Alligator mississippiensis: one gene and its partner. The protein of the gene in region 1 interacts with the protein of each later gene in a pairwise test. Links are inferred from orthologs where the notes say so. Each region holds a gene or a part of one and is shown on either strand. Other genes may lie near its edges.

Region 1 (7,332 bases):
CCAAACTCTGCAAGGTTTACTATGGAACATGCATGTGAAACTGATGATATAAGAAACATAATGCTTGCTTTCAGAAGCTCTCTGAAAGTGTGCGACTAATACAATGGTATTATTTTTGACACTCAGTTCTATCAAAATTAATTCGTTTTGCATCCCTTTGGAAGGCAAAGCAATGGAGGCAAACATTTTAAGCCCTTAGTCCTGTAAACCAATGCTGCTCATCCTTTTGGTGCCAAAGGCTGGACAAATGGCCTGGGGCCAGTCTGCAGGCCACATCATGACCCATGTGCCAGGATCAGACTCCACTCCGCCTCCCTCAGCTCGATTGGGGCCCAGGCCACATCTCCACACTGATCTAGCATGCTCTCCAGCATGCAGGGCTCCCCTGGACCCAGAAACTTGGCAGCAGAAAAGAAACGCTTGTTGCTGCTGCTCCCTTGCCATCAAATTTTGAGACTGAGACCCATTGGGGCCCCTGAGGGCTGGATAGTATAGTTCTGTAGCCTGGATCTGGCCTGTGGACTGAGGCTTGAGCTCAGCTGTAAACAACTGAATACCTGAGTAGACTCATGGCATTGAATTAGACTTGTAATATGATTAAAACAAGGTGTGTGTACACATACATGTTTTCATGACCAGGGCCAAAAAACCCAGCTATGAGCAGTATTTTACCTGAATAATAGACAGAAAATCATAAATTTGGGGGCAGATTACATTCATTTTCTGCAGCTGCATATCTTCACAAAGTTGACAATACTGGATAATCAATACCAGAAAAATCACACTATGTACTCTACCCTGAGTAAAATGTTGACATTGTATGTTTGTGTGAAGTGCCATTAATTACGCTTGAAAATACAGCCCATCAGATGCAGCAACTCTAATCTCAGAAGGGGGCATCAGAAGTTCCTCTCCACATACAGCTGTTGGATGAGATGGAAAATAACATTCTGTAAAATCACAGTAACATAAGAGAATGTTTCATAGTTTCATAGTTGGCAGGGTCGGAAGGGACCTAAGCAGATCATCAAGTCTGACCTCCTGCCTTGGGCAGGAAAGGATGCTGGGTTTAAATGACCCTGGCTACGTGGCTGTCTAGCCTCCTTTTGAAGACCCCCAGGGTAGGGGTGAGCACCACTTCCCTTGGAAGTTGGTTCCAGATCCTAGCCGCCCTGACTGTGAAGTAGTGCCTTCTGATATCTAGCCTGAATCTACTCTCAGTCAACTTATGGTTGTTGTTCCTTGTTACCCCTGGTAGTACTCGGGGGAACAGGGACTCTCCCATTGCCTGCTGGTCCCCTTTGGCAAGTTTATAGGTGGCCACCAGATCCCCTCTCAACCTTCTTTTGTGGAGGCTGAACAGGTTCAGGTCCCGTAGCCTCTCCTCATAGGGCCTCCCCTGCTGCCCCCTGATCATCCGAGTGGCCCTCCTCTGGACCCTCTCGATGCTGTCCACATCCCTCCTGAAGTGCAGCGCCCAGAACTAGATGCAGTACTCCAACTGCGGCCTGACCAGTGTCACATAGAGGGAGAGGATCACCTCCTGGGACTTGTTCGTGATGCATCTGTGGATGCATGACAAGGTGCGGTTAGCCTTCCTGACCACGTTCCCACACTGGCAGCCCATGTTCATCTTGGAATCAATAGTGACTCCAAGATCCTTTTCTGCCTCTGTGCTGACAAGAAGGGAGTTCCCCAGCCTGTAGGTATGCTGCTGGTTCTTCATCCCCAGGTACAGTACCTTGCACTTGTCCGTGTTGAAACCCATCCTATTATCATCCACCCACCTCTGTAACCTGTCCAGATCTAGTTGTAGCCTATAGAATGAAAATAAACAATCTGACATAAGACCCCCAAAGCATTCACAAATACAGAAATGTTAAGTACTAATTGTAGCTTTGTCTGCAACAAGCCAACATTTATTGTATATTCTCTTGGGAATATTTTCTTTTACATTTTAGTAAAATGTAAAAATCCCAGTTCGCTAAATCCCTCAAGTGCTAATACCTCATTCAGAGCTCCTGGTGTGAATCATTTGCTTGCTTACTTTCATCTTTAACAGGATCCCTTTAATCTAAAATGTTCTTCTCACCTGAATGTGGTTACATATGGTGGAGCACCTTATTGGCTAACCCATTAAGAGGAACAGCATTTCTACAGCCTACTTCCTGAGATGCTTTCATATAAAGGCTTCTGCCTCTGAATGAGCTAATTTAGATGGTGCCATATGCCCTGCCTTCTATCTAACTTTAGACTACCATGGCAAATTACCTTTCTCACGGTTACATACATTAGGCGTACTAAATTCTGTTTACTCCTGTTCTAATGTTAGTATTTATAAACTCAGGATTTCATCCCAAATCTCATGGTATATGGCATTTTTTTTAAAGCCCCTGCTGCTTGACTCAAAGTGACTGCACAAGAATCTCAGCCTTCACTTTTTTTGAGGTTGATGGCGGGGAGGGGAGACTGGAAAATATTTGCTTGCACATCTTCAAACCCAGAATACAGGGCAAAAGAACCCAATCTCTCATGTTATTTTCAGGCTCTTTGGGCTCTTTTTTTAGCCATTCTTCTGATCTGATGGGAGGTGACCTCTTCTTCCTATTCTTCTGATCTGGTGGGAGGCCACCCATCCTAGTGGGATATATGGGTCTGGAAATGTGATCTGGGCAGGAGATTTTCAGGGACCTGGTCAGGTCAGGGTGTTTTCTGTGTCCTTTCATCGCATCTGATGAAGTAAGCTTCAGCTCATGAAAGCTTGTGGTACAGATAAATCAATAGATGGATAGATGGATCTACTTTGATTAGTCTACAAGGTGCATATTGTCATGACCCAAAGGTCTGATTTTGTGTGTGCTTCAGCACTAGAATTATCCCCGTAGGTTTACAGCTTCATTGCACAGTGAGTTTTGCTGTACAGAGAACCTGCGTGCAAAGGAGAGAGTTCCCGCCACTTTGCAGCTGTCTTTGCAGGGTGCATTTTCTTTGCAACACAGAAATGCACGGTGCAAAGAGTTCCCGCTCTTCGCATGCAAATTTGTGTCCCGCTATTGGCTAGTTCTAAATTATTCCCACATGGCGGCTAGCGATTGGCCTGCTAGCCATATAAGAGGCTTGAGCAGTTTCCGCCCAAGCCGAAGAGGACTCCACATCCATCTCGTGGGGACTCTGGGCACACGGCAGGGTCATCGAAGCCCTGAGTGTTACTCAGAGGAGTTTGGAGGCCTGATCCACCGCCCACCTCTTCCCGTTTTTGAGCGGTAACTTTCTATAAGACGTATCGACGAGTTTTCTATTTTGAGGCGCGCTTGTCCTGGACATCCGGAGTTCTGTCTACGTGGAGCCTAGCAAACTCCATGTGATAGTTCGTGTTTTCTGTTTGTAACCGCAACTCAAACAAGTTTTTCAGCCTGCACCGCGACCATCTCGGTGTAAGTAAACAATCTTAAAATCAACCGTTACGTGTCTGTGCCTAATTCTAGCTCGGCGCCCGCCCTCTCCGACCCGGCGTGCCCGGGCTGCCGGCCACAGCCCGCGTGCAGCGCGACAAAGGGCCCGGGTTCACACCCAGCCGGCACACAATTCTCCCCTGCCTTCTATAGACCAGGTAGCCTGGAATCAACATGGGGAACCGCCCTCCGGTCGTGTTGATGCAGGGGTGACTAGATTCGGAGCCCGGCCTGGCAAAGCACCATGGCAGCTTTGTCATGCTGTGGCCCTAGGTCACTATCCTCGGTTCTCTAGACCATTTTGGCTTGAGCCTCTGCTCCATGCCCTGATGGGCCCAGCTCCATGAATCCTAGCAGAGTGGGTAGGTGGATGGTGGGGGAGTGGGGTAGGAGAGTGAGGTGGGGGGAGGGTGTGGGAAGGGGCTGTGTGTGTGTCTGTGGCAGGGGAGTGGGGCAGTGTGTGGGTGTGTGTGGTTGGGGCATGGAGTGGGAAGGGTGCGCGTGTGTGTGGTGGGGGAGTGGGTCAGGTGTGTGTGTGGTGAGGGAGTGGGTGTGTGTGTGTGGCAGTGGAGTGGGCCAAGGGGGGTGTGTGTGTGTAAGGGAGCACAGGCCAACCACAACTTGCCCTTGTCCTTCTTGGACAACCAGTGAGCTCATCTCACCGCCCCGCCCCTCCCCTCCTCAGGGTCAGCGGGAACTACAACTCCCAGCGTCCCGTTCGGCCGCGCGCGAGACGCCGCGCGGACCCGGCGCGATTCTCTCTCCGACAACCCGGGGCGGGGGGGAGGATGCGCATGCGCCGAGGGTCCCGAAGCGGCGCTACGCGTGTTGCCGTGCGTAGAGCTGCTGTCCGCTGAGGCGGCGGAGTGCTACGTGGTTTGCGTAACGCACTTGTGAATGGGGAAGGCGGGGGGCAGGGGGATGATGTCAGCCTTCGAATGTCAACAATGTAGCGATTGAGGGAGGAGGCGCCGCAGCAGGAGCGGAGCGCGGGGAGCGGGTGGCCGCACACCGGGGCCGCCGCCGCACGCGCACCGCCGCCGCCGGGCTGCCCGGGACTCCAGCCGCCGCTGCCGCCGCCTCGCGCCGCGCCCGCCCCGGCTGCAGCAGCAGCAGCTCCTCCGCGGTGCCGTCGCGCCTCCCAGCTGCTGCAGCCGCCTCCGCTCCTCCTGCCCCCGCCCGCCTCTTCCCAGCCGCCCCCTCCCTTTCTTCCCCGCGGCAGGACGGGGAGCAGCGCTCGGCAGCCCGCGCCATGTGATGCGCGTCTCTCCGGGGGCAGCTCGCGGTGCGCGCCTTTGAAGCACCCCCCTCCGCCGCCGGGAAACAGCCCGGTCCTCCCTGCCCGGCCGCCCCCACCTCAGGGGGAGCGACCCAAAGTTGCATTCAGCCAAGGTGAGTGCTTTTCTCCCCGCCCTCCCTCCCCCTCCGCGCCCCCACTGCTCCTGGGAGGGGATGGATGGGGATGAAGTTTGCAGGGGTAGGGGGCTGCAGCTGGGACGGGCTGCATCGGTTTGGTGTCTCCTGAAAGAAGAGGAAAGCTTGGGGGGTCCCTTCACCTGCCCGGCGGGGGGGGGCCTACCTGCCCCCCTTTAACCCCTTCCCTGGGCAGGAGGCTGCTCAGCCCCATCTGCCAAGTGGGGAGTGCGCGCAGGTTGCGTCACTGAGAGTGGGCAAGAGGCACCCAAGTCTCTGTGTGTGCCTCCAGCTGTGTATGTCCCTCCAGCTGTGTGGGGCTGGGGAGAACATGATGGCTGGGTGTGAAGGAGGAGGGGGCGGGTGTTGCAGGGGGCGACTGCCTTTCATTGCATGAGGGGGGAGAGTGCTGCCCTTGGGGTGGGTGTGCAAGGAGGAGCAGGGGGCGGGGGGCTGGATTTGTGGGCCCTGAGTAAAGGCGCCGTCAGATTTGGAAGGATCCTAAAGACCCCCTTGGGTCGTGTGTCATGTCCCCCGTCTCCCCCCCCCCTCATCTGCTGGGTGCTTTTCACTCTTTTGTGCCCCAGATCCGAGCAGCAGGGCAGGGAGAAAGGGGGGGTGGGTCCCATCCCCATGAGTGTGAGCAGGGCTGAATTTGGGGCTTAGGTTCCCTCCAGAGCAACCCCTCCCCCCAGCACACCTGCAGGGAATGCTCCCACCTGAGCTCTTTCTGTCTAGGGGTTTCTGTTATGGATCAGGAGCCACCCTGTTGCTTAGTGCCCTGGTGTCCCCCTTCCCCCAACCCCCACACACACTCTTCCTTGGTGCAGGCAGTGTGCAGTGAAGTGTTGGGGGTCACTTCCAAAGCTGCTGCCTGGGGGGACTGAGTCACTGCTGCTGCTTTCCTGCTTCTGTGGTTTGTCTAAGATTGCATTGGGGTGTTTGGAGGGGGCTGTCCCCCACATGCACCTGGGGCTCCAACTCTGCTGTAACTTGACCACAAGTTGTTGCCACAAACAACCATAGATGTATTTTTTATTTGACGCACTCAACACAGTTGGCAACTGACTCTACTCCCTTGGAGGTGCCTTTGTGGCAAGCAAGAACCTGCTTTAAATAGCCAAGCATCTGCTCCAAACTTCTTCATGGTTGTGTATCAGGCAGCACCTTTTCTTAAGAGCAGTGTCTCTATATCAATTTAATCAGTTCAGTGTACTAAACCAAAAAAAAATTAATTACTCCCCATAAAATCTTTCCTGTCTGTTGGGAACCTGACAAGAGATGAAACTTAATGAAATACTTTTCTCTCTTTTTTTTTCTGGTTTGGAGTAAAACTGGAGAGAGATGTTAACTCTGATAATTTTCTTGGATCACTAAAACATAGCATGTAGGTAAGGCAGTTAGCTGCAGAGGCTCTGGCTGTCATGAAAGTAGCTAAGTGTGAAATCATGCCTCGCCTTTTGTGGAACAGGCTATTTTTATAATACAGCGGGTGTCTTCCTTAAAAATGCTTTGGTTATTGTGAGATCACCGTGCTCTTATTACTGAAGCCCTGCCAGCTCTGGAGTAAACGACGTTTTTCATTCTTGAAGATAATCATAAATGTGAGGCAGAAATGACACCTTATTAGAATTAGTCTTTAGTCTGTTGGGAAGATTGCTAAATTATAGTGTTGCTGTTTTCTCTGCCATGGTTGAAGACTTGTCAGTGTTTTCATGACAAAAAAAATTTTTTTAGGTCTTTGGAATTGTCATAAATGTGTGCATTTTAATTCAGTATTCAAAGGCTTGAACTGGGAGTGGAATTTTTCTTTGCAGGTGGATTTGTATGAGATTTTGTTTTGGCTGCATGCAGTGGTGTATTGTTTGGAGGTGGTGCTTTGTATAATGTGACGGGGGTTTTTTGTATATGAGGAAATTGGCGTTTTGGTAAGAAACAAGGAGTAGTTGCTTTTAATACTATGGATAGAATAAAATTGCCAAGGAAACATGTTAAACCATTGACTCCTGGGCTAGTATTAGTAGTGCTTCTTTAACATTTTAGAAGATACGTCATCCCATAAATCAAAACTGTACATATTTTTAAGATGCATGCACATTCTTTTGAAAATCTGAATTAGCTTTGCATCCTCTTGCACGGGGTTCATCAATAGTATGTCATTGCCCGTATAGCAGGTGGACTGCCATAGTTGAGCATGAAAATGACACTAAAAGCATGTATCCTATATACTATGGTGAAATACTATCTAACTCCAAAAGCTAATTTGATGGTGTTGAATGCCATCTGCACAAAATGGAAGGAAACCCTGTCTTGTCACAGTAGGGGATTGGGAATTAGGATTACAAATTTCTGTCTCTAGATCAGTGGTTCTCAACCTTGTAAGACTCAAGGCACTACTTGGAAAATGTCAGCTCTTAGCTTTCCTTCAGTTTTTGGCTATGGAAAAATAATAGAGCCATTCTTCTGT
Region 2 (7,672 bases), on another chromosome or scaffold:
AACCGGCCCTCAGTCACCGGGGAGCCTTCCCCCACCCCGGGTACTGCCCCCCCTCCCCTAGCCCCAAACATGCCCAGTCCTGGATTCCTCCCCAGCTTTACAGCAGAGGAACCGGGGAGCTGCAGCACCCCTGTCCACTGCCGTGGGGTCATGCGACTGACACAGTGGAAGCCAAGACAACCCCCTTCAGGGTGAGGAGGGGACGCACCTAGGAGGTGAGCACAGAATCAGCCCCCCGGACCAATCCCCACTGCAGCCACCGGCACCACACGAGATAGAAGCAGCAGATTTGGGCACATGGCAGACGGGTGCCGTGACGCACCCCTGGGAAGCGCAATGGAATAAAGCTGTCGGGAGCAACTGACTTCAGTGTTCCCAGCCCCCTGCGGCAGAGCCCCCCCTCCCCAAGACGGGTGGCGCCGCAGGCCTCCGCCATCACACCTTCCTCCTCGCTGCACGGACGGTCTGTGCCGAGGATGCCAAGGCCAAGCACCATCTCTGCCCTGCCGGCCCGGGCAGGAGGCTCTGCTCGCACAGCACAGGGGACACATCACCACTGGTCACATCTATCTGAACAAAACAACACACAACACCGGAGTGAGCCGCGGGCTGGTCCTGGGCCATGTGGATGGAGCCCTGGCCCGGCTAGGAAGGGGGTTGTGCTTCGGGGGTCCAGGCCGGCCGCGTGCCTAACGGCCCTGCACAGACCAGCGCCGGGAGCGCGCGCTTTACTACGACCGGGCGTCCGTTTTGGATTTCACTATCGTGATGACGCTGGTGGTGGCCACTTTTCCCGGAACGAGCGGCCCCATGCCAGAGGCCAGGGGCCCGCGGGCAGGGGTCACGGGGCTCCGCGCCACGGTCCGGGCGAAGTTCTGCAGGGCCTCGTACTTGGAGCGCAGGGCGTCAAGTTCCAGTTTCATGCTGGCGTTCTCCGAGGCCAGCTTCTCCACCTCCTGCTGCAGCTCTGCCTTCTGTTTCTCCAGTTCCTCCTTCTGCGTGACGCGCTTGACACGGCAGCTGGCCGCGTAGCCGCGGTTCTTGAGTGTGCGCCGGCGCTGCTTCAGCTGGATGATCTCCTCCTTGGACAGGCCCCGCAGATGCTGGTTCAGCTCCCGCACAGACATGGTCACCAGCTCCTCGTCCGTCAGGCTGGTCCCATTCTCGCCTGGCTCCCGCTTCACCTGGAAGAGGGGACACGAATGGTGCTGAGCCTGTTGCCCCCAGCCCCCTGGACCCAGCCCCAGCCCCCACCCCCGCCCCCAGCCTCTTTACCTTCAAGGCCTTGTTTCCTTTGTTGGGGGTCGTCATAACACGACAGCCTCGTCAGTCAGGATCTGAGGAGAGAGCAGAGGGGGTCAGAGGTCGCTCGCGCGCTCCAGGCCCCAGGGGCGTCTGACCCTCTCCGCACCCGGCGGAGCCCGGGGAGAGGGCAAGGGCACGGCCGAGGGAGCACCAAGCACCTGCCCCCACCCCACGCTGCAGCCAGACTCACGAGGAGCTGCTGCCGCTCATCTCCCTCCTGTCACCCTCCTGTGAGGACTGGAGGCAAATGCTGACGGGAAGGGGGAGACCGGGAGCGCTGGGAGGAGTCAGCGTACGAGGAAGCCACATCTTTAAAAATAGCCGAGCAGCCGCGGGCTGGGTCCAGAGCAGCCAGTCACGCTGACTCAGCACGCTGGCAATCTCCCGCCTCCCGCTCCCACCCCCTCCGTCCTCCTAATCCCCAGCACAACAAGCCAGCCAGGCGCAGCCAGTGTCCTCTGCCAGAGGGCTCCCGCCCCCAGGACCCTTTTAGGACGGGGTCAAAGGTCACAGCAAGTTCTAGATGCTGCAGGAGACGGGGCCGGCGGCCCTGCAGCTTCGCCCCCTCCCCCCGCCGTGACCGCGGTGCACGGGCTCCCCGCACCCTGGGAGCGACCTGCAGAGCAGCGCCCGCGCCCAACGCGCCGGACCGCGCAGCCCAGACCACCGCGGGCCCCGGCCAGGCTGCACAGCGCCCTGCCTCGCCGCTCCCCTGGCACGGCCCCCCCAGAGCCAGCATCCAGGTCTGCTTCCACAGCGCCCAGGCCCCAGCAGCGCTCTGCCCCGGGCAGCCTCGTCCCCTCGGGCTCCAGCCCTCGACGCGCCAGGCCCCGGGCCCCAGCCAGGCCAGCGACTCCCCCGGAGCCCTCCGCCCCGCGCAGCGCAGCGCAGCGCAGCGCCAGGGCGCGGTGCTGCCAGCCCCGCCGGCGCCGGCCACCCGCCCGGGACAGAAGCGCCTGCGGGAGCAGGCTCCGACGGGGGCGCTCCCCCCGGGCACCCCGCGAGGTCCAGCGCGCGGCACCGCGCAGCGCGGCACCGCACCACAGGCCCGCTGAGAGCCGTGGGGCCAAGCGGGGACCCGAGGGCCGCGCCCCGCCGGGACCGGGCCGCGCAGCCGCCTCCAGCCCCGCGCCGCTGGGAGGCAGGGCAGCGCGGGAAGGAGCGGGCAGGCACCGGCCCGCAGCCGCGGGGGGCGGGTGGGCCGGCCGGGGGCTCTGCGGCCCCGCGCGCGACGGAGAAGCCACCACCGCACACTCGGCCCGGCGGGGACGGGGACGGGCGCGGGCAGGTGCCTCGCCGGTGTCCCGGGCCGCGCCCACCGCCCACCCCGGCCCCGGCCGCCGCCCCCGGGACCCAGCTCGGCGGGGAGGCGCAAGCCCCACCCGGGCCGCGCTCGGGGCGGAGAGCGGGCAGCGCAGCCCCGCGTGCCTCGGCGGGGCGGGGCGGGGCGGGGTGGCGGGCCGGGGGCGCTCACCGTGCGGCGGGGGGGCGGGGGGCGCGGGCCGGGCCGGGCCGGGGCGCTGGGAGGTGCCGGGACTCCGGGGCCGCCGCCGCCGCTCACGGACGCGTCACGTGATGTTTGGGTCACGTGGCTCCATTCATGAGCCCCGGCGCAACCGCCCCGAGCCTTAAGGGGGAGGCCGCTCGCGTCGGCGGGCACAAACCGTGGGGCCACCGCCTTAAAGGGGAGGCGCGTGAACTGCCTCCCCCTCCCACGCGGGACACCCCCCCCCCGGCGCGGGGGCAGCGAGAGGCGAGACCGCAGCAGCCTGGGGCCGAGAAGCAAGAGGTTGTTTATTGCACGAAGGACAGCAGCCCGCGCGCCCGCCCCGCCCCGGCCCCTTCCTCCCCGAGCGGCGAAGGGGCAGCAGCTCGTGGCGCCCCTCGGGGCCGTGCCAGGACCCGCCCGAACCGCGGGGGTGCGCGGAGCAGGCCCCCCCCCCGACAACGCTCATGATGGCGCCCACGAGCGCGGCCGGACGGTGCGACGTGGCGGGAAAGCCTACCCTGCCACAGGCCAAGGGGGTGGCCCCAGCCCTGCTCCTCCTTCCCCAGGCAGCGGGTGGGGGGCAGCTCTTGGCCCTCGCCCCCCCAGACCTGGCCACGCAGCCCGCCACGGCATGCAAGCTGCTCAGCTGCTGCAGCCCGTGGGGCTGGCGTGGCCCCGCACCCGCTCCAGCAGCCGGCACGCAGCAGTGACCGGCGGTGCCTGCCCGGCTCCATGCCCCCGGCACAAGCAACCAGGAGCCGCTGGCAGCGGGGTGGAGGGAGCAGCCTGGGCTAGGGGCACCTGAGGCCCCTTCCACCCCCTGTTTTCCATGGTCCCTTGCTTCCTTTGGGCCTTATAAAACCATGAAGCAAAGTGAGCAGAGGCCTGGCGCCTGTCCCCACAGCTCGTGTTCCTCCTCACGCCCTCACAGCGCTTCCTCCACCCACGAAGCTGCAGGGACCTAGACAAGAGCCAGTGCCCAGAGAAAAGGCAGAAGACACAGGTGCAGAGCTGGGCCAGGGAAGGGGGACCAGAGGCCACTCTGCAACCGCCCAGCCACGCAGCCCAGGGGCTCCAGCAGCAGGGCTGGGGGGGGTGCTGCTGCCCAGAGGACACAAGGCTGGGCAAGGTCTGGTCCCTGACCGTAGGAGAGGAAGTGCCACTGCCGATGCCCTCAGCCCCGCTCCCAGCTGAGGAGCCACAAGCGCTTAGAGCTAGAGCTTTTCCTGAAAGAGAGAAGGGAGCGCCTGCAGGAGGGGCAGCAGCAGCCGGGGCCCCTCAGTTCTTCTTGCTGCCGGGGTGCCTGTTGCTGAACAGGCTGACTTTGCTGGCAGAGGCCGTGGAGACGGACGGAGACTCCAGCTTCACCTTATCCAGCAGGGTCTTCTTGATGGCTGCTGGGGAGATCTTCTCCTGATCTGCCAGGTACTGCAGCTCCCTGCGGGAGACAGCACCCATCACGTCACTCATGGGAGGAAAGGAGTGAGGAATGGCAGCGCTGAGCAGGGCCCAGGCTGGGGGCACCCATGCTCACCGTGTCCGGATGCAGGAGGCCTCCACAGCGTTGATGAGGAGCGAGCGGAAGCCCCCGCTTTCCAGGAAGTGCAGAGCATGGATGGTGGCCCCCCCCGGCGAGCACACGTTGTCCTTCAGCTGCCCAGGGTGCTGCTCCGACTCCAGCAGCATTTTGGCTGCGCCCTTTGGGGTCAGAGGGGAAACACAGTCAGCATCCGACTGAGGGACCTGCTGCCCACCCTGCACGAGCAATGCCTGGACAGCTGCTCTGAGCCAGCCTGGGCCCTCTCCTCATGGGCACTGGCCAGGCCATCACAAACCCAGTTCAGAGGTAAACCTCCCCTGCTCACCCAACCTGCCACAGAGCCAACAGCCCCAGCAGGAACCTCAGGGACCCTCCACACACCAGGTGTCCCCAAGCCAACTCTGACCAGGCAGCCTCCTGCAGTGAGACGTGCTGGGTGTGAGTTCAGTCAACCCCGGCTTTGCTCGGTGCAGGCGAGCATGAACTGAGCAATTTCGAGGGGCAGCTACTGACCAGCAGGGCCTGGGCTCCGAGCCGGACAGCCAGCCGGCGGGGAAGTCCCATCTTCACGCCTCCATCTGCCAGAGCGTCCAGAGCTGTGAATGCCTGGGACCGGGAACAGCAGGAAGACGAACTTCAGGTTGGAAGAATGGCCGGTCCCCCAAAGGCTCCGTCACCCCCAGGAGAAGGGATGGAGCCCAAGTCCCAGGGCCACTCTGGACTCCCTAACACCTATGGGGACTTGGGAACCTGCTCCCTGCTCAGTGCCCCTCAAGCAGATGATGCCCCCAGAATAGACAGCTCTGGGAGCTTCCTCCTCCCCCATGAGGTGGGCACCAAGCCACGCTTCCCTGCCACAAGGATGCTTCTATCCGGGGGCAGAGGAGTTGAGCCCCGTGGCCACTCCAGTCTCAGCACGAGACCCGACCACGAGGTTAACTGGGCTGCTTGTCAATGATCTTGAGCCACTTTGGCGATGCAGACGCTCCTGCACCAGGAACTGGGAAGAGACCTCAGCCTCTTCCTGAACCGGAACCCCGTCACAAGGGTGGACAGTCAGAAATTCAGGCCTTTGCTCCGTCAGCTTTGCAGCCTTGTTGGACACTTTCTTATTGCTGTAGGCATGTTCCCTGCATCGAACATTCGTTACTCCCCTCTTGACTTCTACAAACCACAGGAGTGGCACCTACGTAAGCAGGGCCACTGCCGCTGAGCCCCGTGACAGCATCGATCAGGTCCTCTTCCACCTCCGTGCAGAAGCCCACGCTGGCCATCAACTGTTCCAAGAGCTTCCCGTCCTCCACCTCAGCATGGGTCCCAGTGGCATAGACTGTGGCGCCCTCCCGCACGATCACAGGGGTATTGGTCATGCACCTGATCACTTTTGGGGTGGGACAGAAGGTAGAGAGTTTCTTGGGGTGGGAAGGGTTGGACACAGAGGGGAGGAGAGAGAGACATGGACAGATTGAACATACACTCTGCATGTGAAGTTTCCCCCAGAAACTCCCGGGGGGCAGAGGGAGTCCAAGGGGGCAGTGGAAGGGAATTCCCCACCCACCTCCCCCAACTGCCATGCGTGCAAACCCCTGCAGGAGGGCTGTCAGGGAACCCTTGCTGCAGAGGACGTGCCCCTCTGGCAGCGTCCCCGGGGAGGCAGCTGGGCAGAGCCTGCCTGATCCGCAATCCCGGCAGCATTCTGCAGTGCCCCCAATCCCCCGGGAGGCAGTTCCCGTGACCCTCACACCTAGGCTGCTTCCCAGAGGCAGCACAAGACTCCAGGAGACCAGAGGGTCTGACCACCCGCTGGCATAGGGGCGCACCCGACATGATGCTGGAGGGCTCTGATCTCGGGCTAGTCTAAGCTTCCAGGTGGTCCCGCATGGACCACAGGACCAGAGCCCGCAGCAGGGACAGCTTTAGCCCATCCAGGAGGTGCAAGTCTGGCTCTGAACACGCTTTGTCCTGTAGAAGTTGGCTGCAGCCGAGGCTTGGACTAACAGGGACGCGCGGCTGCTGCTAATGCTGGTAACGGAAATGGGTCCCAGCACCTGGAGGGCAAGCCCGGCCCAAGGCCAGCGCCCCCACAGTTCGAGCCCTCCAGGAAAAGCGTTCCAAGGCTGTGGCGCCCCAAGCTGGAGCAGTGCGAGGCAGCGGTAAGCACGGGTCAGGGGACAGGCTCTCCCTACCCCTCCTGCCGCGTGGCGGAGCTGGGAGCACGCCGCACCCACCTTCTCGATGGAGCTGATCGTGACTCCGGCCGCGCAGGAGACCACGATGTGGCGGTGCTCTATGTCCGGGCCGATCTCGTCCAGGATGAAGGGGATGATGGGGGGTTTCACTGCCAGGAAGAGAACGTCGCTGCTCCTAACCGTCTCCTTGTTACTCGGCGTGAAGTTCACCCCCATTTTCTGGAATATTTGGAAAGGAAACAGCACCTGCGTTTGCTTTACTCGCTGCGTGGGTGGGGCAAGTGACCCCCGGCCCCTGGCCCGCAGCGTCCGAGCGAGCGCTGACCCCGCGCGCCGCACTTCGCCCCGGGGACACGAGCCACTCGGCTCCGCTAGCTCCGGCCGTGCCTGCGCGGCTGCGGCAGCGATGCGAGCCACTGGCGAGGGCGGGCTGCAAGCGGCCCGGGACTTACCCTGAGGCCGGAGATCGTGGGCAGGTCCGTGTCCGGGGAGCTCGCCGTGATCTTGTGCGCGGCCAGGACCCCTGCGGACGGCACGGAGCGCGCTCAGCCCAGCCCCGCCCCGCCCCGCATCCCCAACCCTGCCCCCGCCGCGCCCCGCACCCACCTGCGGCGGTGAAGCCCCGCGCCAGGGCGAAGGCGAGCTGCCCCGCGCCGATGAAGCCGACGCTCATGGTTGCGCTGCCGAGCCCACCTGCGCCCACGTGGCCGCTGCGCTGGGGGACCGCGTCCGCGACGCGTGGCGGCCACAGCGCGCTGAGCGCGGCCAATCCCGGGCCCGGGGAGGCGGGGCCGCGCCGCCAGCGCAGCCACTTAGGGCCAGGGGGCGGGGCCTGCCTCCCGGGCCTCGCTCGCTATTGGGGCAACTCTTGTTGGCGATTGCATCATGCCGTGCCTACGCGAGCCGGCCGGGCCCCCCGGACTCTACTTCCCAGCAGGCGGCGCGGCGAGCGGGCGGGCGGACGCCGGCGGCGCGCTGCCTGCTGGGAGTTGTAGTCCCGCGGGGCGCCCGACGTAATGGCGGCGCCAGGTTCTGGAATCTTCCGCGGGGCCTGGCCCAGGCCGCAGGCGGAGGCCGGGCCCGCGCTCGACGCCGAGCCTCGCCCCGGGGTGCGGGATGGTCCCTGTGGCCTCTCAGGGGCCTCCTGCG

Evidence for each region. The genes of interacting proteins can lie anywhere in the genome.
Region 2: the proteins of BACH2 (region 1) and MAFG interact in binary tests that used the Homo sapiens proteins (3 or more experiments, as listed by UniProt). The link is inferred for Alligator mississippiensis from reciprocal best matches to the Homo sapiens genes BACH2 and MAFG.

What each region holds. Positions count from the first base shown.
Region 1 is NC_081824.1:77,765,286-77,772,617, reverse strand, and holds the start of BACH2 (transcription regulator protein BACH2), read left to right. Parts: upstream 1-4,265; 5' UTR 4,266-4,844; intron 4,845-7,332. UniProt on the Homo sapiens protein: Transcriptional regulator that acts as a repressor or activator. Binds to Maf recognition elements (MARE). Plays an important role in coordinating transcription activation and repression by MAFK.
Region 2 is NC_081831.1:453,778-461,449, reverse strand, and holds the start of MAFG (transcription factor MafG), read right to left. Parts: upstream 3,007-7,672; 5' UTR 2,780-3,006; intron 1,663-2,779; exon of another isoform or gene 1,496-1,662; intron 1,338-1,495; 5' UTR 1,312-1,337; coding exon 1,276-1,311; intron 1,185-1,275; coding exon 732-1,184; 3' UTR 1-731. Other genes in the region: PYCR1 (pyrroline-5-carboxylate reductase 1, mitochondrial), read right to left, coding at 4,073-4,232, 4,329-4,492, 4,848-4,940, 5,525-5,746, 6,563-6,742, 6,976-7,046, 7,130-7,196. UniProt on the Homo sapiens protein: Since they lack a putative transactivation domain, the small Mafs behave as transcriptional repressors when they dimerize among themselves.